Linked DNA regions of Oryctolagus cuniculus. The protein of the gene in region 7 purifies or fractionates together with the protein of the main gene of each other region. This does not show direct contact. Links are inferred from orthologs where the notes say so. Each region holds a gene or a part of one and is shown on either strand. Other genes may lie near its edges.

What was found.
Region 1: the proteins of GDI1 (region 7) and RAB12 purify together in Homo sapiens (co-immunoprecipitation; 4 studies listed by BioGRID and IntAct, counting the BioPlex papers as one, with this or other methods). This does not show direct contact. The link is inferred for Oryctolagus cuniculus from reciprocal best matches to the Homo sapiens genes GDI1 and RAB12.
Region 2: the proteins of GDI1 (region 7) and RAB31 purify together in Homo sapiens (co-immunoprecipitation; 3 studies listed by BioGRID and IntAct, counting the BioPlex papers as one, with this or other methods). This does not show direct contact. The link is inferred for Oryctolagus cuniculus from reciprocal best matches to the Homo sapiens genes GDI1 and RAB31.
Region 3: the proteins of GDI1 (region 7) and RAB5C purify together in Homo sapiens (affinity purification with mass spectrometry; 3 studies listed by BioGRID and IntAct, counting the BioPlex papers as one, with this or other methods). This does not show direct contact. The link is inferred for Oryctolagus cuniculus from reciprocal best matches to the Homo sapiens genes GDI1 and RAB5C.
Region 4: the proteins of GDI1 (region 7) and RAB4A purify together in Homo sapiens (co-immunoprecipitation; 4 studies listed by BioGRID and IntAct, counting the BioPlex papers as one, with this or other methods). This does not show direct contact. The link is inferred for Oryctolagus cuniculus from reciprocal best matches to the Homo sapiens genes GDI1 and RAB4A.
Region 5: the proteins of GDI1 (region 7) and RAB1B purify together in Homo sapiens (affinity purification with mass spectrometry; 3 studies listed by BioGRID and IntAct, counting the BioPlex papers as one, with this or other methods). This does not show direct contact. The link is inferred for Oryctolagus cuniculus from reciprocal best matches to the Homo sapiens genes GDI1 and RAB1B.
Region 6: the proteins of GDI1 (region 7) and RAB8B purify together in Homo sapiens (affinity purification with mass spectrometry; 3 studies listed by BioGRID and IntAct, counting the BioPlex papers as one, with this or other methods). This does not show direct contact. The link is inferred for Oryctolagus cuniculus from reciprocal best matches to the Homo sapiens genes GDI1 and RAB8B.

Annotation. Positions count from the first base shown.
Region 1 is NC_091441.1:65,748,192-65,752,238, forward strand, and holds the start of RAB12 (ras-related protein Rab-12), read left to right. Parts: upstream 1-1,247; 5' UTR 1,248-1,267; coding exon 1,268-1,808; intron 1,809-4,047. UniProt on the Homo sapiens protein: The small GTPases Rab are key regulators of intracellular membrane trafficking, from the formation of transport vesicles to their fusion with membranes.
Region 2 is NC_091441.1:67,004,353-67,007,852, reverse strand, and holds part of RAB31 (ras-related protein Rab-31), read right to left. Parts: intron 1,480-3,500; coding exon 1,370-1,479; intron 1-1,369. UniProt on the Homo sapiens protein: The small GTPases Rab are key regulators of intracellular membrane trafficking, from the formation of transport vesicles to their fusion with membranes.
Region 3 is NC_091448.1:20,643,092-20,647,019, reverse strand, and holds the start of RAB5C (ras-related protein Rab-5C), read right to left. Parts: upstream 2,801-3,928; 5' UTR 2,642-2,800; intron 2,462-2,641; exon of another isoform or gene 1,726-2,461; intron 1-1,725. UniProt on the Homo sapiens protein: The small GTPases Rab are key regulators of intracellular membrane trafficking, from the formation of transport vesicles to their fusion with membranes.
Region 4 is NC_091444.1:90,047,216-90,051,353, reverse strand, and holds the start of RAB4A (ras-related protein Rab-4A), read right to left. Parts: upstream 2,801-4,138; 5' UTR 2,531-2,800; coding exon 2,500-2,530; intron 1-2,499. UniProt on the Homo sapiens protein: The small GTPases Rab are key regulators of intracellular membrane trafficking, from the formation of transport vesicles to their fusion with membranes.
Region 5 is NC_091432.1:5,574,716-5,578,995, reverse strand, and holds the start of RAB1B (ras-related protein Rab-1B), read left to right. Parts: upstream 1-1,480; 5' UTR 1,481-1,616; coding exon 1,617-1,630; intron 1,631-3,127; coding exon 3,128-3,200; intron 3,201-3,433; coding exon 3,434-3,529; intron 3,530-3,607; coding exon 3,608-3,703; intron 3,704-4,280. Other genes in the region: KLC2 (kinesin light chain 2), read left to right, coding at 1-31, 161-244. UniProt on the Homo sapiens protein: The small GTPases Rab are key regulators of intracellular membrane trafficking, from the formation of transport vesicles to their fusion with membranes.
Region 6 is NC_091443.1:86,302,780-86,306,279, reverse strand, and holds part of RAB8B (ras-related protein Rab-8B), read right to left. Parts: intron 3,293-3,500; exon of another isoform or gene 2,358-3,292; coding exon 2,307-2,357; exon of another isoform or gene 2,094-2,306; intron 1,328-2,093; coding exon 1,235-1,327; 3' UTR 1-1,234. UniProt on the Homo sapiens protein: The small GTPases Rab are key regulators of intracellular membrane trafficking, from the formation of transport vesicles to their fusion with membranes.
Region 7 is NC_091453.1:132,671,142-132,674,207, forward strand, and holds the end of GDI1 (rab GDP dissociation inhibitor alpha), read left to right. Parts: intron 1-712; coding exon 713-812; intron 813-1,552; coding exon 1,553-1,724; intron 1,725-2,042; coding exon 2,043-2,187; intron 2,188-2,269; coding exon 2,270-2,324; intron 2,325-2,413; coding exon 2,414-2,566; downstream 2,567-3,066. UniProt on the Homo sapiens protein: Regulates the GDP/GTP exchange reaction of most Rab proteins by inhibiting the dissociation of GDP from them, and the subsequent binding of GTP to them. Promotes the dissociation of GDP-bound Rab proteins from the membrane and inhibits their activation.

The DNA.
Region 1 (4,047 bases), on a different chromosome or scaffold from region 7:
GGAAAAGCAGAAGATGATGGCCCATGTGCTTGTGCTCTGACACCCCCATGGGAAACCAGGAGGAAGCTCCTGGCACCCACCTGACTCCCGGCTTCAGCCTGGCCCAGTCCCCCAGCTGTTGGACCATCTGGAGTGCGAACCAGCGGATGGAAGCTCTCTCCCTCTCTCTCTGTAACCCTGTCTTTCAACCAAATATTTAAAATAAAATAAAATAAAATCGTAGAGATGACCATATTTACCATATCCTGAGAATTACTGAAAAGACTGAGGTGGCTTTTGCAGAGCTAAGAATTCTCTTGTAAAAGCGCACTTCCCCCAGCTGACCCGGTGGGCGATGCTGGATGTCTGCAGCCCCGGAGCGCCCAGTGCCGAGTGCCATTGGCAGAGCTGTGCGTTCCCACACCGAGGTCCACACCCAGCGTCACCTGGCGGTAACAGGAGCCTTCCGGGCCTCCGGGCCAGCTCCTACCGCGTTCAGAACCCTGTGTTCCTGGGCGCTCGGATTCACGCCGAGGAATCTGCTAAACAACTCCCTGGCCAGCAATCGGCCCGGCGATTTTTCAGTCGCTTTGAGACCTTTCTAAAAGCCAAAGCATCTTCAGCGAGGCCATGATTGCTAAACTTTCTGAGTTTAAATCTCACTGCTTGGATTCTCCCGAAAGGAGTGTGCCGCTTGCTTATGGCAAACATGAGACGGAATCGGAACTTGAGATCTCTGAGTGAGGCAGCCGCCGGGGTGAAAATATCCGACCTTGTGTATTTCCGTACGAAACGGCAGACAGCCGCGGGGCCAGGCTGTGGCTGCTGTCGGTGCCTGACTGCGCGTCCAAATGAGACCCCCGATGCGCCGCACGGGCAGCACGGGCCTGGCCTGGCACCGCCCGGGGTCCCCACCAACCAACTGGGGTTCGCAGCACTGATTCCGGGGCTCTCCTAGGTTCAGGGAAAGGCAGACGATTAATAGCGGGCGTGGCGTTTGAGGGCTGCGCACAGTGCAACAGAGGGGGAAGGTGAAAAAGAAACAACAAACTAGCGGACAGAACGGCCCGGGCCGAAGTGGGGGGCGAATGAGAGCAGGAGGCGGGGAAAGAGCAAAGGCTGCCGGCCTGGGAGATCAGGGAGCAACCGCACAATCACGGGTGTTGGCCCCGGCAGTCCTCCGGCAGGCAGGGGGCGCTCGCCCGGTCACCGCCGCCGCCGTGGCCCCGCCCCCGCCGCGGCCCCGCCCCCGCCGCGCGCCTGCGCTTCCTGCCCCTCCTCGTCCGGGATGCTGCTGCCGCTGCTGCGGAGTAGCTGCTTCCCTTCCTCCTCCCCCGGCGGCGGCGGCGGTGGTGGTGGCGGCGGCAGTAGCCGTAGCGGCGGTAGCGGCAGCGGGGAGGGGGGCGCAGGAAGCCGCCCGGCGGAACAGCTGCAGCGCGGGCCCCCGGGGCCGCTCGAGCGCGCAGACTTCGAGCCGGGGGCCGACCCCCTGCGCGCGGCTGAGACCGAGGCCAAGGCCGAGGGGGCGCCGGGGCCCGGGGCGCGCGGCCGGGGGGCGGGCGGCGGCGGACGGCGGGCCGAGCGGGAGCCGTATGCGTGCATGGATCCGGGCGCCGCGCTGCAGAGGCGGGCCGCGGGCGGCGGCGGCGGCCTGGGCGCGGGCTCCCCGGCGCTGTCGGGCGGCCAGGCCCGCCGGAGGAAGCAGCCCCCCAGGCCGGCCGACTTCAAGCTCCAGGTTATCATCATCGGCTCCCGCGGCGTGGGCAAGACCAGCCTGATGGAGCGCTTCACCGACGACACCTTCTGCGAGGCCTGCAAGTCCACCGTGGGTAAGGCGCGCCGCCGCCGCCGCCCCCGCCCCGGGGGCCCTCCCTTTCCCATCTTGCGGCCCCCAGGGGCTTGCGTTTGGCCGGTGAGCCTCGCGTGGGATCTGCGGCGGGGAGGGGAGGGTCTCGGTGGAAGCCCCTCAGTGCCACTCCCGAAGCTGCACGGAGATTTTCGTTGGGTCTCGCCGCGGACGCGTCCTTGGGGCGCCCGGGCCTGTGTCCGGGCCGGAGCCCGGGTCTGGAGCGCGCGCGCCGCGGGCGACCCCTTCTCGCGCGTCCTGAGGCCTGGGGGGACGGGGGTGGGGGGCGACGCATCCACTTGCACGTGGAGGCTCCCGGCTCTGTGCAGACTCAGCCGAGGAGGAAGGCCTGGCCGCGCTGGCCGCTGCCTTGGTGGCCGGCGGGTCCTCGCCTAGCGTTTGGAGGAGGAGGATTTTCGCTGTCGGCGGGGCGTCGGTTCGCCTTTGAACCCGTTTTCAAGGGCGGGCTGAAATGATGAAGTGTAACATTCCCCACGCAGAGAGTTTAAACTAAGACTGCACCAAGTGTCTTGAAGTACAGACTTGGAGCAGCTGTGTTTACCGGTGACCTCACCGGTGAGGGCAGCACCGCGGGCTGCAGGCCGCGACGTAGGGGTGGCATTCCCAGGACGCGGAACGGAAACTGCAAGGGAGAGTTGTTTCCAAGAAGTCAGGCCCAGCCGGACCTGCCGTGGAGGGGTGTCAGGTGGGGGTGGAGAATCGTGACCCCGGAAAGCCCGTGGGAGCAGCGCTCGGGGAAGCCTGGAGCTGGGCTGGTTCTTCAGCTAAAGGGTGTTGACCTCCCGTGGTGGACAGTGAGGGCTTTTCCCAGAAGAGAACCGAGATTTGGCGCACGGAATTAAATGTAGCATCTCCTATATTTCCCTACCGGCTTAGAGTCCGAGCCAGTGCTAATTCCAGTGTGCAGATACATTGCTTTTAGGTTGTCCCGGGACAAAACGAGTGCTACATTTCAGATGTCTTTATGGAAAATTAAACTTCCAGTATTTGTTTTGTTTCTGAGAACTTTCCTTCCTTCATGCCTTTTTTTTTGGGGGGGGGGGGTGATATTTGTGCTGTCGGTGCTCTTTTTGAAAAGTTGGCCTTGGGAATGTGATATTAAAATTCAGTAGCATAACTGGACCTGTTTCAGATGTCCCTTCTTGGACCGTGCAGAGTGCAGGAGTCATTAAACCATCACATGATGTGTACACTGTTATTTTAGTAGCTGTCACAAATCCAGTAGTGTTAAAAACAATGCAGAATTATCGATCCGTCACGGCTCCACACGTGGACATCTGAAAATCAGAGATAATGTAGTTGCGCCATGTGATGAAGAAGAACCAGTGCCGGCGCTAAACAGGAGACTGAGGGGCTGGGTGGATGCCGGTGAGATTGGCCATGAGCAGAGTTGTGCTTTAGAACAGAGGAGAGGAGGGGGGTTCTAAGCCAGGCCACAGTGGACTGGGACCCCCCAAGCCGTGGGAAAGGTTCTTTAGGGAACAGAGGAATGGATGCTGTGAGACCTTGACCACCATGCTAGGAAGTGAGGTCCTTGCCCCACAGGCACCTGTGGCCATGAAGACTGCTACAGAGACAGTTCAACTGAATTTGGGATTGTGTGGGCCACTTGGGGCCAAGGAAAGAAACAGGCCAGGCGGTTCTGTGTCCCCCCAACAAACATGAACACGTGGACTTAACGGAGTGCATCTCACCGCATGCTGAGTGTGGTTGTATTTTTCTCTTGCTCATCTTTTGTTCCCGCACGCACAGCCTATAGTACTCGGCTCAGGGCATGTGTCCAGTTGTGGGAAGTTCTGAGACAGAAGGCACTTGCAGAAAGCCTCCACGCGGCTCTCCCTGGTGGTGATCGGATCGTTGGTTGAGCACCTACTGGGTGCTGGGTGTTGGGCTGTCCACCAGGCTTTTGATGGCAACAGGACCTGGGCTCTGTGCAGGAGTGGATCCAAGCTAATGGACACGTGGATTGGGGTGGAGGTTGTAGGGGCGGTAACAGAGACTTGTGCAGAGCACCCAGGAAGCGCCTCCTATCTGGAGGTGGGGTGTGAGGGCGTGTCGGAGAAGGTGTCCTCTATTGGAGTGTTGTGAAGACAAGTTGGTTCTTCAAGTTTAGGAAAATGCTCTTCAAACCTGGCATCAGGTGGTGTGGGATCAGGGCTCCAGGCTCCTTGTGAGGCTGGTTTCGTGTCTGTGTGGTACAA
Region 2 (3,500 bases), on a different chromosome or scaffold from region 7:
AGTCAAATGCTCTGAGATGTCCCTCAGAGTGACACAAGGACAGGGAGCACCTACAGGCCACTGGCATCATCAAGGGGCCAGAGCGCTTCCAAGGAGAACCTGGAGCCCTAGCACTGCACAGTGCAACCAGGCGGGTCCATGAGCCTGAAGGCCACAGGTGTGCTGAGTGAAGTCAGAGCGGCAAAGCACCTGCCAGCAGGTGCAGAGAAGGGGAGGCAATGAGGACCCTGAGGAATGAGAGGAAGGGCCAGCTGCCTCCCTCCACACGTTTCTTCTGCACGTTTCTTCTGCGCAATCCCACATGGGGGATGCAGAGTCCCTACCTCCAGTGAACTCCCCCACAAGCCAACACAAACAAACGGCAGTCTCCCTGCTGTGGGTTCTCAGAGTCTAGAGTAACAGACCCAAACCAGTTACACGGAAACCAAATCTGTTTGGGAAGCTCTGGCCACCCCCTGCCTGGGGGAGCCCAGCCAACAGTGACCTCAGGCAGAGGAGGGATCAAACCAGCCGCTTCCCTTCTGGGCCTGTCCCGGGGCTGAGACATCTGAGAACCAGGCCAACTGCTCAGGGGCTCTGCTCTCCCAAGAAGGGTGCCCGGGGCTTCCAAAGTCCTGAACTCCTCCCTGCCTCCCTGAGGGCAACTCAGACACAGCACAGGGTCCCCAGAAAGCTGTGAGCGGACAGCCTCCCCCCCCCCCCCCCCCCCCCCGCCGCAGAGAAGCCACGGGGGTGAAATCTGGGCCCGGCTGCAGACAGATGTGTCAGGGAGGCCATCCGCTGGGAGACAGCTCTTGGATGAAGCCATTTGTGGGGAAGCAGCACACGGACAGGGACACAGGGCCCAGCCGGGGACAGAGTGCACGCTGTCTGCTCCCATCACTTAGCTCATCAGGAATGAGGGGCAGCTTTACAAGTCAACCCTCCACCCAGCACTCAACTTCAGGTCACGTGGGATGGAGACATGATTTTTGTGGATGATCAACAGGCAACATAAATTGCTAAAAGGTTCCCTTGATGTGCTGACAGTTGTTCAGTCAAATGGGTGATCTGGGGCATCTATACTTTATCATTGTCTGTTTTGTCTCGCCTCCCTTCAGGATGCTAACATAAAATGCTATAGACTGTGTAACTCTCAATTAATACAACATTCATTTTTGTGGGAAATGGCTTCATTTTGATCCACAAAACACAGAACCAACAAACTGCGCGGATTGCAGAAATGTAAACGGAGAGGCCTAACAGAGGCCTCTATCTAAGGCATCAGATAAACTCACACGGAGGGAAAGCTCTATTTCAGTGCTCTACAGTTTTTACCCCAGGAGCAGAAAAATGCCAGCTAGACAAAAGCACCCTTTCGGGTACTTACTGATTCCTTGAAAGAGCTCTTCGATGTTGATAGCGTTCTTCGCACTTGTTTCAACCACGATGGCACCTATGGACTCAGCATATTCCTTTGCATCCTTCAGAGGAACCTCCCTGGAAAAGAGGTCAAACCCAAGAGAAATGAGTGCTCAGCTGTAAAATACAGATCACCCACAAGGCCAAACAAACCACGGGCGTCAATCAGCTCTTTTCTATCCCCTGCAGACCCGGAACGCGGCCTCAGCAAGCACGGACGGCCGAGGATGGGGGAAGATTTTTGAGAGTGTAAAACCTGGTCTCTGGCCCCCCCGGAGACGGGTGGGTGCCCGAGTGCTCTGCTCCCGTGGTGGGAGGCAAATCCAGGACAGGAGGGACAGGAGGGGTGAGAGGGCGGTCAACATGCTGCTCTCAGACCCCGGCTTCCGCTGTGGTTTGGAGGTCACTTAACTGCCCTGGTAATAGCAGGAGGAGGCGGCAGCCTGACGAGGTGATTAAGCCACGAGGACTCTGCCTTCATTAGCAGAATCATCGTCTCCATGAGAGGTCAAGTTCAGGCCCCCTCTTGCCTCTCTGCCCTTCCATCTTCGGCCACGTGGAAACGAAACACTGCTCTCTTCCCGAGGAAGCAGCATTCAACACGCCCCAGAGTCCACCTTTCTTAGCCAGGTCATGGCGGTACTGTTCCGGCAGTGCAGAGCGGAAGAAGGCAGGCTGGTTTTAGCTTTTTCCCCCAGGATGTGACTCAGTATTAAAACAATACTGTGAGAACGTAGGATGTGCTTTGGGGCGACTTTCCACACACGGTTTTCCGCAGAGCAGAGCAAGTGTGTGCCACGACTGGTCGGTTTGGCAACGAGCCTGGTACGACGCAGTGTGGCCTATCTGGAGTTCCACCTTTAAGAAGCTGTTCCCACAGAGATGGAAAATTCACAGTTCTTGTTCTCCTAAGGTTCATTTATGCAACAAATACGTTATTGAGCAGCCCTTGTGGGCCCCTCCTCTTGCAAGTAGTAAAGAAAACAACCAACCCCGCCTCCTGGAAGGAATGTTTAAGAGCAGAGACAAGCAAAACACTGACCCACAACGCGGTGTGCAACCAAGCGCCTACAGACCAAGGGGCAGAAGGCGATGGTTCAGTCCAGGGAAGCAAGGAAGAGGCCCTGGGTGGAGGCGGCCACCTTATGTGTGGCCACGAGGGCCACGGAGAGCTAGGGCGGGGATCTGCCATCTGCTCGAGGCCTGGAGGAGGGAGCCCGTGCTCCTCTGCCGTCAGCGCCGGGACGAGGGCGCTCTGAAGCCCCCATGTGGCTCGGAGGTCAGGGCGGCTTCACCCATGTACCACATGGTGTCAGGATGGACAGACGGCTGGAGTGTGTGCCACAGGAGCACAGGAGGGCCCAGCAGGGATCCTGGCCATGCAAGCCTGGCTGGTCCCAGAGGCCTCAGGGAGCAGGAGGCAACCGGGTCAGCGCCCGAGCCTGGGAGAAAACAGCACACAAAGGGGACCAGGGCGGAGAGAGGCGGGGAGGGTGACGTGGAAGTGCCTCTCGGGCCCGAGGCCAGCATGGCAGGGCAGCGATGGGAAACAAGGGGAGGGGGACACGAAGCTGAAACTGGAGGTGAGCACAGGGCCTGTGTCCATCTGCCTGCCTTTCCTCCTCTGCCTCTCTGTCTTTCACAAATGGCTGCAACTGACTGACAGCTACTGGGGAAATTCAAACACCTTCTGAGACCCAACCTGTATGAGAGGAAGAGTTTGCGGGCCCCAGGTGGGAATGCCTAGGTAGAAGTTCACACACACACACACACACACACACACTGCATTTACTGTTATTTGTGAAAGGAAGAGCAAGGGAGATATTCCATTTGCCGGTTCACTCCCCAAAAGGCCACTACAGCTGGGGGCCATGCGTCAGGAACCCCATCCAGGTCTCCCAAGTGGGTGGCAGGGGCCCAAGTCCTTGGGCCATCATCCGCAGCCTCCCAGGCTGCATTAGCAGAGGCCACGCATGCTCCCTCCAGGCCCCACCTTCACCAGCCGCCTCCACCTCAGTCCAGACCCCTTCGTTTCTTACAGGGATTCCTGCGGTCGCCTCTTCCCGCTCCCCTCACCTCCTGCCTTCCGAAGTGCACAT
Region 3 (3,928 bases), on a different chromosome or scaffold from region 7:
GCTGACTCCAAAGCCCTAGTGCCCCCCATCCCACCACACCGCCTCTGTGTGTGCTGGGCAGGGGTTACAGGAAGAAGCCTCTTCTAAGAAGCACTTGCTTGGTAGGGCTGAACTTGAACTCCTGACCTCCTTGTTTCCAGTAAATTCAAGTGAAGGCGCGTCACCTCGGGCAGCACTGCAGGGCAGCCGGAGGCCCTCCCGCCCTCACTGGGGCCCAGGAGGCCCCCGAGCCCAGTGGCTTTCACTTTCACTTTCCAACCATCAGCCGGCAGGTTCCCAGGAAACTGACGGCAGTCAGATGTCAGCGAACTTGGGCCCTGCAGAGCACCAACTCCTGTCAGGGCCCCTGCAGGCAGAGCACAGGGGGCCAAGGAGGAGGCCAGGAGGCCGGGGTGAAGATGGGGGAAGAGATGGGAAGCAGAGCAGCGCCAGGGACAAGGATGGTGCAGGGGCTCAGAGCCTGCACTGTGCCCCTGATGCTCACCCTACCTGTTCATTCATTTAAGGGCCAGTCACTAGGGAAGGCCGAGGTCACATCTGAGCCCAGATCCCAAGCCTCAGCGCCATCACCTCCTAACCGCGTGGTCTTAGGCATCATCTCCAATGTGGAAATGCAAATCTCACTACCTCCCAAGGAACGTGTGAGGGACGTGTGTGAAAAGAAGTCTGCAACTCTGCAATGACCTAAAGCAATTAGCAGTTACCATCACCCTGTAGTATAGCAGCAGAAAAAAGGCCAGCTCGCTGTGACGGGCCCAGGGAAGGAGGGAACATGTTAGAGAGGAGGGGCTTCTGCCCCACACAGAGCCCTCCCTCTGCCAGGCAGGGTTCGTCCTGTTACGATGCTTTAATTTTTGGAGGCCAGAGTGGCTACACAGCCACCCAGAGCTGTACAGCCTTCCCCACTGTTCTGAACAGGGAGCTGCTCTTCCCGAAGCCTGCTTCCGAGTCAGAGCTGCAACGCAAAGAAGAACCCCTCGGACGGCCGCTCGGCCTCATCCCTGCACTGCTGCAGCGCTCCGCCAGCCACGGCCCACCCCGTCAGAACCAGCGGCCCTGCCCTCAGCCCCACAGCCCCACCAGGTCCGATGAGGAGGGCGGACAAAGTCTCCAAGGAGCCCACACGGGCTCAGGGCTCGTGATCCAGCTGTTGAGCCCAATAAGGAAGTTTTGCTTTGTTGTCCAATAAAAAGTGAAACAAGTGCGTTCAAGACCGAGCTCAAAAGACTGTAGGGACCACACACTAGCAACTGTCCAGAGCAGCAAAAAAGATCTCAAAGCAGAAACACCTTTAACACTGGGAAGCAGCAGCCAAGGGCAGTGAGGGCGGCCCAGGAACACCAGGAGCTCCGGCGATTCCGGCAGCGTGGGGCTCTCCTCCCTTCCTCCCCTGCAGATAGCAAGGGTCAGTCCTGGCCTCAGGCAAGCTGCTCCTCATTAAGGTAGTCTCTGGCCTGTACTTTGGCCACGTAACAGAACGGTCTAGCCTGGTCTGAGACAGCAGCCATTTCACACACCCAGTTCCTAAACAACAGAGTAGGATCCTATGGCAAAACAGCCGGGGGGAGGGGAGGGCAGCCCTTTCTAGCAGATTTGGGAACTCCTCTTGCTACAGAAATTAGCTAAGAACCCAAGACTGCCACTGTGCCCTCGACTCATTGGTCTGTAGTACGTCCAAGCCCCGGGGACTGAGGCGAGGCCCCGGTGAGGGTGGACCTGTTGCTGGGGCGGCGGTCGAGTGTGTGTGTCTGGGAGCAGCAAAGAAACGGTCCTTCAAGCCCCAGCTCCTCACTTCTCTGGGCTTATTCTCTCCTCTACAGCCCAGCGGACAAGGCAGTCCCGCAGAGGCAGCTTGGGGAACCGCTCACGTGCTCTCGGGAGGACAGGGCTGAGCCTGGAGCCGAGGGGGAGGAGTAGGGGAGCCAGAAGATAATGAATGGGCAGAGCCACCCTGACCTAGCATTGAGCAAACCTCAGCTGAATTCTTCAGAGGCAGGAAGAGAGATACACTCAAGAGGACAGGGCCGGGGGACAGCGGGGACAAAACAAGAAGGCTGCTCGTTCCCAAGGAGTGCCCCGCGCCCCAGACTCCGCTGAGGTCCTGGCTGGCTCTCTGGCTGGAGGAGGGAGAACGAGTCGGGAGTTGTGGGAGCACACACACTTCTATGCGCGTGGAGTCGCCTCCCCCAGACCACCCTCCCCCAAAGGAAATCGAGACAAGACTTCTCCAGGGCTGGCGGGGGACAACTGCTTCTGTGGGACCGGGGTGGGGGGGACACGGCGACAGACAGCCCTCCCCGCCACCTCTACGGGAGAAGAGGGGCAGGTTCCTGCACACCTGGCAAAGACCGGCCGATTCTGGGAGCAGGGAGAGCGGAACTCAGGGTCCCTCTCCGCCGCGACTGGACTGGACAGGCCAGAGGAGAGCCGCAGGGGTTTCCCCAAGGTTCACAAAGGGCAGGTAAGTCGAGGAAAGAAGGGATCTTCCTGTGGCCTGACGCCTGCGGAGCGCCTTAAGAAGGGGCTACGGGTCGGGGGAGGGGTCAGTATCCCCCTAAGATAGGGCTGGGCAGAAGGAAGGGCTGCCCCGCAAAGGCAACTGGGCTGGAGAGACACTGGATCCCAGGACAGGCACACTCACAGCGGCTCCGGGGACGGCGGCGTTACTTGGGGACGGGGCTCGGACAGGTTTCGCTCCTCTCCCCCCCGGCGGTGTCCCAGGCTCCGGCCTCCACTTCCGCCTTTCAGCCGCTCCGGATCCGGATCTCTACCTCCGCCCCGCCCCTCTTACTCCCAGGTGACTGACAGGGCGGAGAAGCCAATGGGAGGCCCTCCTGGCCGACCCATAGGCGGTGCCGGTGAGGGTCGCGGGAGAGGCGGGAGAGAGCGAGCGAGGGACGGCGGGACTTGTAGTTCGCAGCACTGGGCGGAGCCGTCGCCTGCTTGGGACTTGGCCTTAGGGTGGAGCCGGCTGGGGCGAGGCGGAGCCGGCCTGGGCTGCTAATCGCGTCACTGCGGGTTCCAGGAGCCCCGAGGGAAGGCGAATGGCTGCGGAGCGATGGGAGAGGGCAGACGACTGTGTGTGTAGAACTGGGGAGGGGGCAAACGTGATGTGAATGAGTTCGTACGGGAGGCCGCGTGGGTCTCGTGCACTCGCTAACTGGGAGCAGCCCCTGGCCACGCTTCCTGAAGTTGGGGGCACTGTGTGATGGGGAAGGCGCTCTGGGATGCTAGGTGACATAGAAGGGGGCGCTTTATAAACCCTCCTGCGTTGGGCTGGTCCCTAGACACACAGAACCACCTCTGCCCCTCTACCCCTCCCCACACCCGACTGGAAGCAGATACAGAGCTGGATACCTGCTGCCTCAGCTGGAATCCCCACCCCCACGTAGGTTGAGACATTTCCGACGCCTCTCCCTCAGGTTTAGGGCCACTTCTCCTTATTCTCCCCGCCCCCCCTTCCCCTCCTCAGCCCCTCACCTCCCAACACAAGCCAGTACCTCTCCTATTTCTTCCTCTCACTCCTCAGGGACGCTACCCAAAAGCCCTATGGAATCTGTCTGTGACAGCCGCCATCACCCGTCGTAGCCTAGAGGCTGAGCTGCAGAATCTGGCTGCACATCTGGCTGCAGCTGGTTAGCAGGTGCTTCTTTCTTTAGAACATCCACAGCTCCCCTCCTCCTGGCAGCCACCATCAGAGAAGTGAAAGCTGGGAGGGCTTGGGAGGGCAGGGGGCATGGGGCAGGGTGAGATTCCCACCAGGAGCTTGGCTGGTGCCCAGCTCTTCTCCCAGCGCCTGCTGCACGGAGCCCAGCAACCCCTCCCTGGGTAGGAAGGGTAGGGAGTCCCCTGGGCACTCCTTGCCAAGGCTGGAGGTAGGCCTGAGCCAGGACTCTGTCCCTCCCACATACGTGTATCTGGTGAGGGG
Region 4 (4,138 bases), on a different chromosome or scaffold from region 7:
AATTTTTAAAAAAGAAGCCTGGCATTTCCCCTCCACATTTACAGTTCAGCACTAGCATCAGTTCTTGGCACCAGGAATCACGCACCGCCAAACTGTGGCCTCCTGGGTCTCAGAGGGGTTCCATGGGGGAGTCCCGGGCAACACTAACGGGCCAGCACTTTTGGATCGCTTGAATCTAAACACATGTGGGAGTACCTTGTTCCAGGTTAGTGACACTCAGACTGAAGGGTCCACGCTGACATCTGTTTAGCATTTCAACTGTGCATTACAGTATGACATACACTACAGCATTGTACTCCTGTGGTTAGTGGCTTCCCAACAACACAGGGCTGGACCCGACTCAGGTCTATGGGAAGTGGAACACTGCTCTAACGTGCTCATGAGCAGGTGGCTCCCGCACACTAACAGTGCATTCACGGCACTGGCTCTTTATGTCTCATTTAGAAAATACTAAATTCACAATTAGTAAATAGTGAAAGCTTGTTTTTTTGAAAGTGCATGAAATAAGAACATTAATGGCCGAAGCCTGAGCATCAGGATTTTAACCAGTTCCTGGGTGAGGCTTGCAACTTCCAAGATCCCTGTGCAGAGTGAGGCAGGGCAAGCAAAGGTGGGCTGTATTCTATCAGCTGTTACCACTTCACACAAGGAAAATGAAAGCAAGGTCTTCCCATGCTTTCTTAGTAATTCACAACCTCCCCATGGTTCCCTCATTAAGACTTTTCAGCCTTATCTAGTGCTGCTTACCCAGGTCAAAGAAAAAAAAAATGGGGGAGGGGTGGACAAATAAGCACTTGCATATAAACAACTGCAAAGATACAACCACAAATTGCTTGGAACACATTTTCCGTAGGATACTTTTGGGGGGCTGCCTTGCTGCCTGCACAAGCATCCCATTTGGGTGGCGGTTCGAGACCCGGCTGCTCCACTTCCAGCTCTCTGCTAATGTATCTAGAAAAAAGCGGGAGGTGGCTCAAGTGCTTGGGCCCCTGCACCCACATGGGAGACCCAGATGAAACTCCTGGCTCCTGGCTTCAGCATGGCCCGGCACTGGGTGTTGTGGCCATTTGGGGAGCTGAACCAGCGGATGGAGGATTTCTCCCTCTCCCTCTGTAATTCTGCCTTTTCAAATAAGCAGAGAGATAATGTTTTAAAGCCATTTCTGACTGCAGTTCTCCATGGGAAGAAGAGCAGCGCATGGCCACCCCTCACAGGAGACCCGGCAGCTCTGGCAACGCTGGTCTTGACAAACCCAGCAGGTTTCCTGGAAGATTTCCGAGGCCTTCTAAGAACAGCGGCCATGCTACAGTGTCACCAAGAACAGGGCAGTGCCAGTCACAAGAATCGCTAAAGCGGCCCCACTGCACCTCGACCTTGGAGCAGAAACCTTTGCAAGCTTACCACCTGTCTTAGGAGGGAGCTGGAAACCTCCCACCAGGCCCTCTCTCCTCGCCCTGCTTGAAATGCCTTTTCCACAGGTCTGGGCACCTGCCAGGTGACCGTCTGACTGCCCAGTGCGGGCCAGCTCTCATCCTAACAAACAGGCACATTTCTTCAGGGCTCCTGCCTGGCCTGGACTCACTCAGCAGCACCCCAACCGGATTCACACGGGACTCCCCGCCAAGAAGGCAAACTCCACCCGGCCAGAGCCGCCTCTGCTGTGTCTCCAGGAGCTCACAGCCTTCCAAGCCTGACGCCTGCTCCCCTAATGCCCTGCACACGTTATCTGTTGCCGGGAAGGAGCGGCAGGCCAGGACAGATGGTGACAGGCGGATCTGGCTTGAGGGATACATTTTCTTTTGAATTTGAGCCTCTCCCTGGGGCTGTAAAACTCCAAATCAAAGTCTTAATCTGAGACTGTACACATTTGAAAGAGTCCGGGTTGATAAACATTTACTCAACACTAATAAAAGGTACAAGTTGTTGATCCTGACTATGCAGGACAGAAAAAAAAATTTTTTTTTTTTTAACAAGGCGCCGATTCCAAGGCGTTTACGATCTTAAAAGAATAGACGAGCCCCCTTGTAACTAGCCAAATGCAACCTAGAGAGGCTATAAATAAAGCAAGAGTTATCTGGGAGGAAGAGATAGATTAATCTATTGCTAACTCCTCCTTTAATCCCACGGCAAAGACAGTAAATCCAAATCCGAAAAGGTCAAAACTGGAACATCCCGAGGAGCTCGCTGAAATCCAGAAGTCGCCCCCTTCGCAGGGGCTAACGTCACAGCCGCAGGCGAATCTCAAGCTACCCAGAGAGGAAAAACACTCAGGGTACCAGCGCGGAGGAAACTTGGAAAAGCAGATCACGTAAACAGGCCGTTCACAGCCTCGCGTTCCCACCCAGAGACCCCCGAGCCCCCCGCCCGCGGCCCCAACGCTCGCGCTCCCCGCAGATCCCGGGCCCGAGCCCCCGACGCCCCCCGAGACCTCTCCCCGAGCGCAGGTTCGGGTCCCCACGCCGCAGAGACCCGAGCCCGCTCGTCCCCCGGGCCTCCTACCGTAGGTTTCGGACATGGCCGTCTGCGACATCTTGGGAGCGGCACGGCCTCTGGCCGGGTCACGGCTGCAGCTGGGGTGAGCGGCGGGAAGGGAGGGCCGGGAGGTCTGTGTGCCGCGCGTCCAGACGGCGAGGGGCGTGGAGCGGGGTGGGTGGGGAACCCGAGGAGGGAGGGGCCGGACCGGTCCCCAAGGCAACCGCCCACCCGCACCGCCGCGGCCCTATAGGACTCCGGCTCCGCGCAGGCGCACGGCCCTCGGCCCTCGGCCCTCCTCCGGCCCGGGCCTGGAGCTGGAGGAGGAGGAGCAGGAGGAGGAGGAGAAGGAGGAGCCAGGCCCCCCCTCCCGCGGCCGCGCGTGCGCATGGGGAGGCCGGGCGAGGCGCACAGGCGCGCGCGGGCGCACAGGGCGCGCGCCAATACGCACAGCTTCCATCCACTGGTTCACTCCCCCGATGTCCACAAGGGCGGTGGCTGAGCTGAGGCCAAGAGGGGAGCCAGGATCCCAATTCGGGTCTCCATGTGGGTGGCAGGAACTCAGTAACTGGAGCCATCTCCACTACCCCCCCCCGGGGGGGGGCACATTAGCAGGAATCTGGAGTCAGAAGCTACCGCTTCGTATGGAACCTGCCTACTTTGATAGTGTTAGGAAACTGGCACAGTTTTAGCCAGGTGGCCACATGGCCCAGCTACCTGAGCCAGGCTCCACCCCCATCCTAATGGGATTCGCTGCTCCTGCTTCCCTGCCCGCCCTCAGGCAAAGTTTTAAAAGGGCCTGTTCCTGAACACGTGCTCTCTTGGGCTCTGCTCCCTGCTCTCTTGGCCCTTCTCTCTTGCTCTCTCTCGGTTCCTCTCTCTAGCCTCCTCCTCTGGTCTCTTGGCTCTTGGTTCTTCTCTCTTGGCTCTGCTCTATCTTCTCTCCTTGCTAGCTCCTCTCCTCTCTGTTTCTCTCTTATATTCTCTTTCTCTCTTTTTCCTTCGCAGCCCCTTCACTCCGGTCTGTAGGGTGTTCTCCAGTAAACCCTTTCCCTTACTCCGGTGTCCGGTGTGCTTTGCGACGGCTAACATTAATATATAACAAGTGGAACAAAGGTGATGTGGAAGGGAAATAAACTGAAAGATAAGGAGCTGAAACATTTTTTTTTTAGACATTTTCAGAGGCGTTGTAGGCCTTCAGAATTCTGCAGTTTCAAGCCACTCTATCTCCAGCTGAGTATAAACACTGCTTTTCAAATGATTGATGTTTTTCCTTAGCAAAGACCCACCCAAGTCTGGTTGCAGCTGGGCGGGGGAGGTGGGAGGTTCTGCGCGTGCGCGGCGGCCCCGCCCACTGGCGCATGGCGGCGGTTGCTCGGCGACCGTCATCCGGAGCTGAGGAGTTGGAGACCGCGGACCTGCCTTGCGGGGACGTGGTGGCCAGACGGCTCGTTTTCTCGGATTTTGGGCTCCGGAGGTGGCGGAAAGCCGCCGTCCGCTTCAGAAATGAAGCGATTTCTTTCCTACTCAGCCATGAGGCGCCAGGTGCTCCAGACGTCCTCCGACGGGCGCGGGAACGGGCTGGAGGTTCGACCCCAGTTCCGTGGCAGCATCGTGGAGGAGGAACTCGGGGAGCTCCACAGGGCTGCCAGCGAGGGGGGACGCG
Region 5 (4,280 bases), on a different chromosome or scaffold from region 7:
CCTCAACAAGAGCGTGGAGGAGCCAGCCCAGGTAGGGGCGGGTGGCCGTCTGTGCCCCGGGCGCGTCCCTGCCCGCCTGCTCGGGCCTGTGCGACGGTGGGTGCCAGCGTGCACGCAGCCCTGACCCGCAGGAGCTCACCAGGGCCCCCTCTGTCCGCAGCCTGGCGGCGCGGGGCTCTCTGACAGCCGCACCCTCAGCTCCAGTTCCATGGACCTCTCCCGACGGAGCTCCCTCGTGGGCTAAGCCTGAAGGGGCAGCCAGTTGCCAGAGCCGCCCCCCGGCACAGCCCCAGCGCTCGCATGGGCCCGCTGCTCGTCCCGCCTGCCCAGCCCCAGGACCCCTGTCTTTTCTGTTCAATCTCAGGGTAACCTCCCCGCGTCGTCCCAGCCTGAGCCCTGGAGGCCGGCCTGGCTGCCCAGCGCTGCCCCGTATTTATTCTCTCCAGCAGAGCCCCTTGCCAGGCCCGTGGGAGGGGCTGGCTGCTCGCCTCGCCCAGATCCGGAGCCCGGAACACTAAGCCCCGCCCTCCCCCGGCCGTTGCTTCTGTATATAGAGAAATAAGTTATTGGCCGCGCCCCTGCCCTCCGTCCCGGTACTCCCGGCCCTTCTCTAGTGGTACCGCCCAGGCCTTAATCACCCCCATCGCGCGCGGAGTATCTCCCGCGAGCGGCGCCGCCCCGCAGGGCTCCCTGACCTGCTCCCGCCCCTCCCGGCCTCCAGGGGACGCCACCAGCTCGCCATCGCCCGGTGTCCCGGGACGGAGAGCCCGGAGCCCTCCTCGCCCGCCGGCCCCGCGCCGCGCCCGGCCTTATGCACTGCCCCGCCGGGGCGCCGCCTCCGCGCCTGCAGCTTCCCGCCGGGGCCGGAGGGCTCCCCAGCTGGGGTGGGGTGAGGCGGTCGCGCCATTTTCAGATGTAACTGGAGAAATAAAGACGTTTGAATCTGTGCTGGGCTTGTTTTGAGACGGAGGCCGCGGGTGCCCCAGGCTGGGATGGGTGGGAGAGGCTGCGCGTGTCTCCCACGGGGGCCAGGCCCTCTGCCCCAGCCCAGTTGTGGGGGGCGCTGCTCGGCTCGGGGTTTCTTCGAGAGCCTTCGCTCCTTCGCCCCAGACGGCCCGGTCTTTAACGAGATCGGCCGTCCTCGGGTTTGACCTTGAGCGAGTTTCCCGAGCCCCGGTTTTTTTTTTCCACCTATAAAACTAGTGTGAGGACATCCTCCTGGGCCCGTGGCTGTGCGTGAGGAGCTCTGACTAGTGCATGACCGGCGCCACCTTCCCACGCAGAGCTCCCAACCTGGGAGCCGAAGAGGGAGAAGGCGGGTGCGCCAGCCCGAGCCGTCCTCGGCCCGCGGCTACCAGGAAGCGGACTACAAGCTCCAGAAGGCAGTGCGCGGCAGGACAGGCGTGGGCTCGCAGCGACGCCTGCGCCGTGGGGGGTGGCGAGTCGGGCACCGTGGGGGACTACAAGTTCCAGTAAGCAGCGCGGCGAGGCCCCTGTCGGGACCGTGTGCGCCTGCGCGTCGCGGGCGGGGCCTCAGGGGCGGAGCGGCCACCATCTTGGAACGGGAGGCGGAGCAGAGCCGACTGGGAGCGACCGAGCGGGCCGCCGCCGCCGCCATGAACCCCGAATAGTGAGTGAGCCCCGCCCGCGCCGTCTGGCGCAGCCTCGGTCCCGAGTACGGGGCTGTACGCGTTCCGGAGTTGTCTGGCCCGGGTCAGGACTGTGCGGCGCCCCCACATCCGGGTCCCTCTACCACTGACACCCCCCCCCCACACATACACACATCCGGGTCCCGCCCCTCCCCCCGGGGGCCCAGGACCCCGTCTTGACACCCCCGAGTCCTCGAAGCGGGGGCCCGAAGCGGCAGCCCCAAGGGCAGCGCTGGGAGCCGCGCGGCCGGCGCGCAGGCCTCCGCGGTCAGGTGACCCGGCAGCCCCGGCGTCCCCAGGCCTCAGTTTCCCCGGCTGTGCGGAGCCTGTCACGCCGGTTTCTGGGTTCAGACTCGGCTCTTTTGGGTCGGGCTCTTGGCGAAGAAGAGCAGCGCCTGGGGTGTGGAGCTTGGCGGAGAGGGGGCTCAGAGCCCTGGAGGCAAGCGAGAAGCGAAGTCGATTAAGCCCCGCAAAAGTGCGCTCGGGCGGGATCCGAGCGGCCCAGCCCCTGGGCGCGGGGCGGTGGTCCTCCGTCGTCTGTCTGAACCGAGAGGTGCGGCTCCCGGAGGATGGGCAGGGGGCTGCCCGGGAAGGCGGGGCGCGGGCTGTCCCGGCGGAGTCGGGATTCCGGCGTGGTGGAGGAATTCCTGGAAAGCGTGGGGAGCCCGTGTGAGCCCCCTGCGGCCGTGAGGATTTCGAAGGTGGCTCGGAAGGCCGGCTTCCACGTTGTCTCTGCGGCCCCTGGAGTGCAGGTGTGCCAGCCCTGGGGCCCTGCCCGCGCCCGCCTCCCCGGTCTGGGGCCGAGGCTGGCCAGGCGCAGGGCCCGGGGCGGCGCTTGGTCCCGTCTCCCGCGCCTCGCGCTCGCGGGGTCTCCCGCGCCTCGTCCCGCCTTTGCCACCCTGCTTTCGCTGTCCCGCTGCTGCCGGGCCCGGGCGCCGTGGCGCGGCCTTTGCCTCGCGGCGCCGGCTCTGGGCCTCGCTGCCGGCTCGGCTCTGCACTCGGACTTCCCCGCGGTGCGCTCTGCTTCCTCTCTGCCGCTTCCCTCTTCTGCCCCAGCTGGAGGCTGCAGGTTTCCCCGGGCAGCGCCCCCCGGGCCGCGGTGCGGGGTGGGTGAGACCCCGCCTTGGGGCCCCCTCGCAGCTCAGTCTCCTCCCTGGCCTGGGGTCTCTTCGTGGCGACTTCAGCTGTGCGCGCAGCTTTGTCACTGAGCAGGTTCCGGGCTGAGCTCAGCTTTCCCTCTGGGGCCTGCCCTGCCAAGCCACTGGACGGGCCGGGAAGGTCTGGAGTCCTGGGAAAAGTCCCAGCGGCGGCACCGGGCTCTGGTTCACAGCATCCCGCCCTTCAGCGCCCGGCGCCCTGTCGCGTCCAGGGCAGCGCTCCCCCAGCCAGGCCTGGCGGGAGATCTGGGGGGCCGCGGCCGCGAGCCCAGGGTGGCAGCAGTGCGCTGCCTGCCCTCACACTCTCTCTTCTCTTCCCAGTGACTACCTGTTTAAGCTGCTTTTGATCGGCGACTCGGGCGTGGGCAAGTCGTGCCTACTCCTGCGGTTTGCTGTGAGTAGAAGCTCCCGTCCCCCAGCCTGGGGTCCCAGCTGGCAGCGGGGGGAAGGGCCCCCCAGAGCACAGTGGCTGCGAGACCTGGGGACCCAGGGTGAAGTCGTGGGACCCACCAGTCACACATCAGACTAAATGGCACAGGGCCCAAACGTTGGGGTGCTGAGAACTGGGGCTCCCCTGTGCCCCACTGGGGCCCCGTGGCTGAGGCGCTGCGCTGGCCCCGGCCCTAGGATGACACGTACACGGAGAGCTACATCAGCACCATCGGGGTGGACTTCAAGATCCGCACCATCGAGCTGGACGGCAAGACCATCAAACTCCAGATCGTGAGTGTCGCCCGAGGGCCCCGGGGAGGGGGCTGCGGCCTGGGCCGCGGGCCGACTGTGCTGCTCGCTTGTCTGCAGTGGGACACAGCCGGCCAGGAGCGGTTCCGGACCATCACCTCCAGCTACTACCGGGGGGCCCACGGCATCATCGTGGTGTATGACGTCACCGACCAGGTACTCCGGGGCTCCCTGTCGCCAGCTGTGCCTCCCTGCCTTAGTCCGAGATTCGCACGTCATCCTGGCCTCTGCCCTGACAGGGGACTGACTGTGTGCAGGCTCACGTGCAGGGAGGCCAGCCTTCCAGAACCCTGATGCAGGGGCTCGGTGGGACCAGGCCGCAGCTTCCCCTCCGCGCCAGACTCGCCCCTCGGGGTTTTAGTCAGCTGGGTGGCCGCGGTGCTGGACCTGTGGCTTCCTGTGTGAGACAGGGGCGGCACTTGGAGGGCCCTTGACCAGGAGGCCCGGGAGCCCGGTGTGAGCAAGAGCCCAGGCTGTGCGTCTGCTCTCACGCCGCTGGCAGCAGCCGGAGACGGTCTGTCCCCTTGCGACACTCATGCGAGGGCTGTGTCCCAGGAGGCCGTGGGCTCAGGACGGCGGGGGCCCTGGGCGAGTCCTCCAGCTTGTGGAGGGCAGGGGCAGGAAGCGCAGTCTTTCCCTCCCCCCCCGCCCCAAACCTGCCGCTGCGTGGGGTCCAGCCCCAGGCGGAAGGGGTCCCTGCTCCCAAGGGCAGCTGCTCTTTTTTTAAGACTTA
Region 6 (3,500 bases), on a different chromosome or scaffold from region 7:
AACCTTGACCATATTTTCTCTAATGAAAAGGCAAGACTTTTTCTACAGGCTGCACTAGATCTATTCACTTTTATTAACAACCCTTCCCCCCGCCCAAAAAAAAGAATCCCAAATCATTATTTTCACCATTACCAAGAGTTATCTCTGTTAAATTTATATCAACAAGTTAATCTCTGTGTAGGCAAGCTTTCTGCAAACTAAAATCTCAATCTAACTTTCACTAACTCTCGTGGATAGGGATTATGGTGGGAACTGGGTATCTCAGCTCAATCATCAAGCTAAGGGATGAAGCTAAGAAAAAATATATTACAAGTCCTCATGTGACACAATCGCAGTGAGATGCTGAAGTGAAATCCTAGATGGGGCGTCTCTCTGTCAAATTTCAGCTCAAGAAATTCACAAGGAAAAATACAGCAATGTTAGAATATGTTCAGTTTCAGATCACCGAGGAATCACAGTTAAGTCAAACATAGGAAAGAAGAGCAAATACAAACCCCAGGAAAAGTGAGAATATAGTGATTTCCCACTGTGGTTTCCACAGATTAGGCAGAGGTAATCAATTTAAAGAGTGATTCTTGGAGCTATCTGGACTCTGGGAAAAAGGTCAAGAATGAGGCAAAGCTCTACATAATCTGAAGAGGTGAAGACACCGTGGGCATTTTTATGAATTTTTAAAATAGGTTTTGTCATGACTTAATGATCTTTACTTAATAAAATCACAAATCAAACCCCTTAAATAAAATGGTACCAATGCAGTAACATTTGGCCTTAGAAACCAGACCACATGTCCTTTAATTTTAGTACATTAGCCTCTGCTTTAAATGTCCTGTCTTTTTTTTAACGACCCCCAAATGTACAAATCCATCGACTTAAGGACACAAAAGTGTGCAAAAATGAGTCTGAGATTGTGCTGTAGAAGGGAGAGAGTAACACTGTGTGCAAAGTGAAAAAGAAAGATAGCAGCTTCTGCAACAGGCAGGAAAACAAAGGAAAAACAAGTTAGGTCCTGCTTGTGTCTCCAAGTCATTGCTTCCATGTTTGAAAGAAAAAACGAGCCTGTTCTTTTGTGAGGCCGGGAGGCTGGACTCCACTGGGCCTTCTGCGGCAGAGGTCCGAGTTCAGCAGTGCTCTCAGCAGCAGCCGGGCGGTGTGATTCTGAGGCTGGGTGACCTGTGCTTTCGGAGAAGCAGGAGGGGGCCCTCCGGGCGCGCTGCAGTCTCTCAGACAGAGTTCATCAAAGCAGCGAGCAACGGAAGAAACTGGTCTTCTTTGACCGGTTTTCTGTGATTTTCACTGGTCCGCCTGCCCCTGAAGAATTGCTGTCATTCTGAAATTGAGAAGATGCCATTAGCAGGGAAATAAAAGTTTCACGGTTACCTACAAAATAAAAATGACAAACCATACCATGGGTAGCGTGCATTCTATGGAAACAGATATATTCACCGAAATACTTCTATTAGAAAGGGAACTGGTTGGGCTCCACTGAGCAAACTGTTCTTCAGATAGCACTGGCTATGTTAACAATGTATTAGGCAGGAAGCTCCTATTTCCAGTTAAAAGCAATTACAATGAATGGTGGGTAAAGCTTCAAGGGTAATGATGGAAACAGTGCTAAGATACTGACACGGGTACTCCTTTTAGGGGTAAGGAGAATTATACAATTATATTCAGGACTGAAAACCAATTTTCAAAGTTTGTTTTGAAGTTTGCTGAAAATGAAACTAGATAATTTTATGGCCAAAATGTAATTTGTAGGGCCAGTGATGAGGCGTAACAGGTAAAACCACTACCTGTGACACCAGCATCCCATAAGTGTGCTGGTTCGAATCCTGACTGCTCCATTTCTGATCCAGTTCCCTGCTAATGGCCTGGGAAAGCAGCGTTAGAAGGCCCAAGCCCTTCAGCCCCTGCACTCCTGCCTCCTGGCTTCGGCCTGGCCCAGCCCCAGCCGTTGTGGCCATTTGGGGAGTGAACTAGCAGATGGAAGATCTCTGTCTCTTCCTCTGTGTAACTCTTTCAAATAAATAAATGAATGAATCTTTAAAAGAATGTAATTTATATGCCGTTGCTATTTCCATTGTTCTGATCTAAAGGCAATGAAAAGCCACTTTGGGAGCAAGATAAAGACTGAAAACAGCTTCAGCTGAAAAACCAGAATCCTGAAGAAAGAGAAGAATCGAAGTTCGATCAGATGAATATGTTAGTAAGGAAAAAGTGAGTTTAATGTGAAATATTACAATCAGGCCTATCCTTCGATCAAATGCCAAAGAAAACAGAGCAATGGAAATAAAAATCATGATACTAACCATTTTTCTGTTGAGTTTTGTCATTATATCTCGTGCTAGTGTAAAAAATGCCTACAAGTAAAACAAAAATTTCATTATTACATATTTATGCTACTATTACACATTTCATTAGTAACATCTTAAAACACATTTTTCATTATCTCATCATAAACACACTACTTCAAAGGTTTTCACTGACAAAAGGATGTAACTGTAATTATGGTATGCACATGCATGCTATATGCTCTTTTTCAATGACATCATAAACATTTCCCAATGTTATCAACCCACGATTCATTCATTCATCAGATATCTCCTTCATGGGCTCTCTGGCACTCGATCCCATTATGACACGTGCTGAGTTATCTGAGGCTGCCTCAGTACACAAAGAACCGGGCAGAGGAAATGAATGGTTATGTGCTACCCTAAAACGTCTACCCAACAATCTCTACCTCTTACTTCTGACCTCCTCTTCAAACTTCCTCACTCTTACACCTGAGTATACACAGCGAGCTTCTGCAGCTCAGCTGAATCCCCCAGCATGGAAATCAGTTCAAATGGAAGCAGGAAAAATCTGGTTATCCATAGTCTCTCCCGGCCCAACCAAATATTCTTTAAATCTATTATCACTTTACTGTGTTACCACAGAGCCTCATGGGGCTGGTGTTGTGGCGCAGCCAGTAAAGTCAATGCCAGCATTCTATATGAGTGTCAGTTCAAGACCTGGCTGCTCCACTTCCAATCCAGGTCCCTGCTAAAGTGCCTGGGAAAGCAGTGGAAGTTGGACCACGTGCTTGGGCCCCTGCACCCACAACCCTGGAAGAGGCTCCGGAATATGGGCTTCAGCCTGGCCCAGCCCCGGCTGTTATGGGCATCTGGGAAGTGAACCACTTGGAAGATCCCTCTCTCTCTGTAACTCTGACTTTCAAATAAATAATAATAATAAAAAATCTTTATAAAAAAGAAAAAAACTCTGTCAGTTGTCTCTACACTAACCCACTGTTAATGTTGGCCTCTGTTTTCAAATATCCTGAGCCCCCCAAAAACTGTGTAGGAAAAGGACAATTTCCAATCCAATTAAATAGAAGTAAGAGGATAACCACTGCTGTCACCCACTGTCAGAACCCCACTGTCGCGCTGGTCACCTATACATCTAAGCTTCTACGTTAGCCCATCCCCGTGTTTAGGAGGTAGCCACACTGACTTCAAGCTCTA
Region 7 (3,066 bases):
CAGCATTTCCTACTCTGACATCTGAGATGGGGACACAGCCCCAGCACAAAGCCCTGGGAGGCAGACTCAGGAACCTTGAGTCTGCGCTTAGTGGGGAGCTGGACTTTGTTCTGGTCCCTCAGGCTCCTCTTTCTGTGTGGCGCTGGTCCTTCAGGCCACCCTCACACTAGCCCTTTGCAGGATATTCTAGGCATGGAGTTCCAAAGACCACAGTAAGATGGGATGTGACGTTTTTAAAAGATTTATTTATTCCAAAGGCATATATATATATATATATATATATATAGAGAGAGAGAGAGAGAGAGAGAGAGATAGATAGATATCTTCCATCCTCTGGTTCACTCCCCAGATGGTCACATGCCCAAGGCTGGGCCAGGCCAAAGCCAGTAGCCAGGACTTTGTTCCAGGTCTCCCATGAAGGTTCAAGGGCCCAAGCACTTGAGCCATCTCCTGCTGCTTTCTCAGGCCATTAGCAGGGATCAGAGGTGGAGCAGCCAGGACTTGAACTGGCACCCATATGGGGTGCTGGTGTCACAGGTGGTGGCTTTACCCGCTACCCCACAGTGCTGGCCGGGATAAACTGCCGAGGGTCCTGACACCGCCTGCCTGGGGAAGCCTCCTCTATACCTCAGTGGTGGCAGGGCACGGTGCAGGAGACTTGGTCCCCATTTCTCCTGGGAGGGGCACTTGAGCTTCTCTCCCCTTCCCACAGATTGAGCGCCATCTACGGGGGCACATACATGCTGAACAAACCTGTGGACGACATCATCATGGAGAATGGCAAGGTTGTGGGTGTGAAGTCTGAGGGAGAGGTAAGCCTTCCCCAGGCCATGGGGCCATCGTGGTTAGGGCGGGGCTCGCCTACCTCCTCTGCTGCCAGGTCTGCTGCACACCTCAGCCCCAGGGCTTTAGAGCTGAGAACTGGGGGTCCAGAAGCCATTCCTGTTGGCGGGAGGTCCCCTTCAGAGGTGGTGTACTGGGGCCAGTGCTGTGGCGCAGCAGGTTAAACCACTGGCTGCAACGTCGGCATCCCCTATGAGCACTGGTTCCAGTCCCAGCTGCTCCACTTCCGAGCCACCTCCATACTAATAGCTTGGGAAAGCAGTGGAAGATGGTCCAAGTGCTTGGGCTCCTGCTCCCACGTGGGAGAGCTACATGGAGTTGCAGGCTCCTAGTTTAGATCTGGCCCAGCCCTGGCTGTTGTCATTTGGGGAGGGAACCAGGAGATGGAAGATGTGTGTGTGTGTGTGTGTGTGTGTTTCCTTCTGTCACTATGTCTTTCAAATAAACAAATCTTTAAAAGAAAAACCAAAAAAACAAAAGCCACAAAGATCACGAGCTGTGTGTAGTGCAGAAAGCACTGTTGATCACAGTGTGCCTGCAGCCGGGGCTCACCCCATTTCTGGACTCACCTGCCTGCCCTGCCGGCTGTGGCTGTGCGTTCCAGGAGAGTGGAGCCTCTGCCTGCTGCCTGGCCTCGTGCGTGGGCTCAGCCCCACGAGGTTTTAGGGCAGGGATCGGACAGAGGTAAAGCCCTCCGATGCCTTCACAGGTGGCCCGCTGCAAGCAGCTGATCTGTGATCCCAGCTACATCCCAGACCGCGTCCGGAAGGCTGGCCAGGTTATCCGCATCATCTGTATCCTCAGCCACCCCATCAAGAACACCAACGATGCCAATTCCTGCCAAATCATCATCCCCCAGAACCAGGTCAACAGGAAGTCAGGTAGGCCGGGGCACACGTGACGTCCTCCTGGGTGTTCTCTGTGGGCTTGCTCCGTCTCTCCCTGTCAGCCTTGGGGCTCCCCACCTGATCCCTCCACAGCAGAAATGAGAGCCGCGTGACAGTCCCCACGACTTGGGGCCCCAGGGATTGGGTGGCTTGGACTCTTTCTCCTTGGGAGGGTGACAGCCAGGATGCTGCCCATTGTGTGGGGCGGGGTGATTGGATCAGGTGGGCCAGGATCCCATGCAGCCCCTAGGCGCCTTCTCTTTGCATGGTGTTCACTCTGGCCCGTGCTAACTGAGCACTTCCCGTGGCCAGACATCTACGTGTGCATGATCTCCTATGCACACAACGTGGCTGCGCAGGGCAAGTACATCGCCATTGCCAGCACCACAGTGGAGACTGCGGAGCCGGAAAAGGAGGTTGAGCCAGCTCTGGAGCTGCTGGAGCCTATTGACCAGAAGTAAGGGGTTGCACGGAGCCCGAGGGGGTGGGGAGGACCAGGAAGGGCGGGGCCTGTTGCGAGGCTTGTCTCTGCCTCTCAGGTTTGTGGCTATCAGTGACTTGTACGAGCCCATTGATGATGGTTCTGAGAGCCAGGTAAGTGCCTGTCCCAGCCCCAAGTCCCGGCCGCCCACCCGGCCGCCCTGCCCAACTCACCTGAGGCCCTGGGCTCTGGCTGTTGCCAGGTTTTCTGTTCCTGCTCCTACGATGCCACCACACACTTTGAGACAACCTGCAATGACATCAAGGACATCTACAAGCGCATGGCTGGCTCAGCCTTTGACTTTGAGAACATGAAGCGCAAACAGAACGACGTCTTTGGAGAAGCTGACCAGTGACTGCTGCCCCTGCTGCCCCCGCCGCCCCTCCTGCGTCCTGCAGGGCCAGGGAGATGTGCGGCAGCACCCCTGTTTCCAGCATCTCTGCTTCCCCCACCACATTCCTACTACCCACCTCATTGATTCACTGACCAAATCCTTAACCTTAGCGATGGTTTGGGAGATGGGGGGTTGGATAGCATCTCTTCCTTGGCCCTTCCTTATCCTAGGAAAAGACGGTTCCTTTCTTCGTGCGTGTCTCTTCCCCTCGCCCCTAATTCTTCTGCTCTGTCTGGGAAGAACATGGAGGAAAAGCTGGCTTCTGCCCCCACCGCTCTTACTCCTACTGTAGTGGCCTTTGGAGATGCCCCCTGCCTCCCCCCACCAACTCTCGTGTGTTGGAAAGAAGGGGCCCTCCCAGCACAAAATTGCATTCCTTTTCCCCGTAATTTATTCTAATTTATTAACTGCAGCCCACCCCACCTGAGCCTGCATCCTCCTAGAGCAACCTGGGGGCTGTC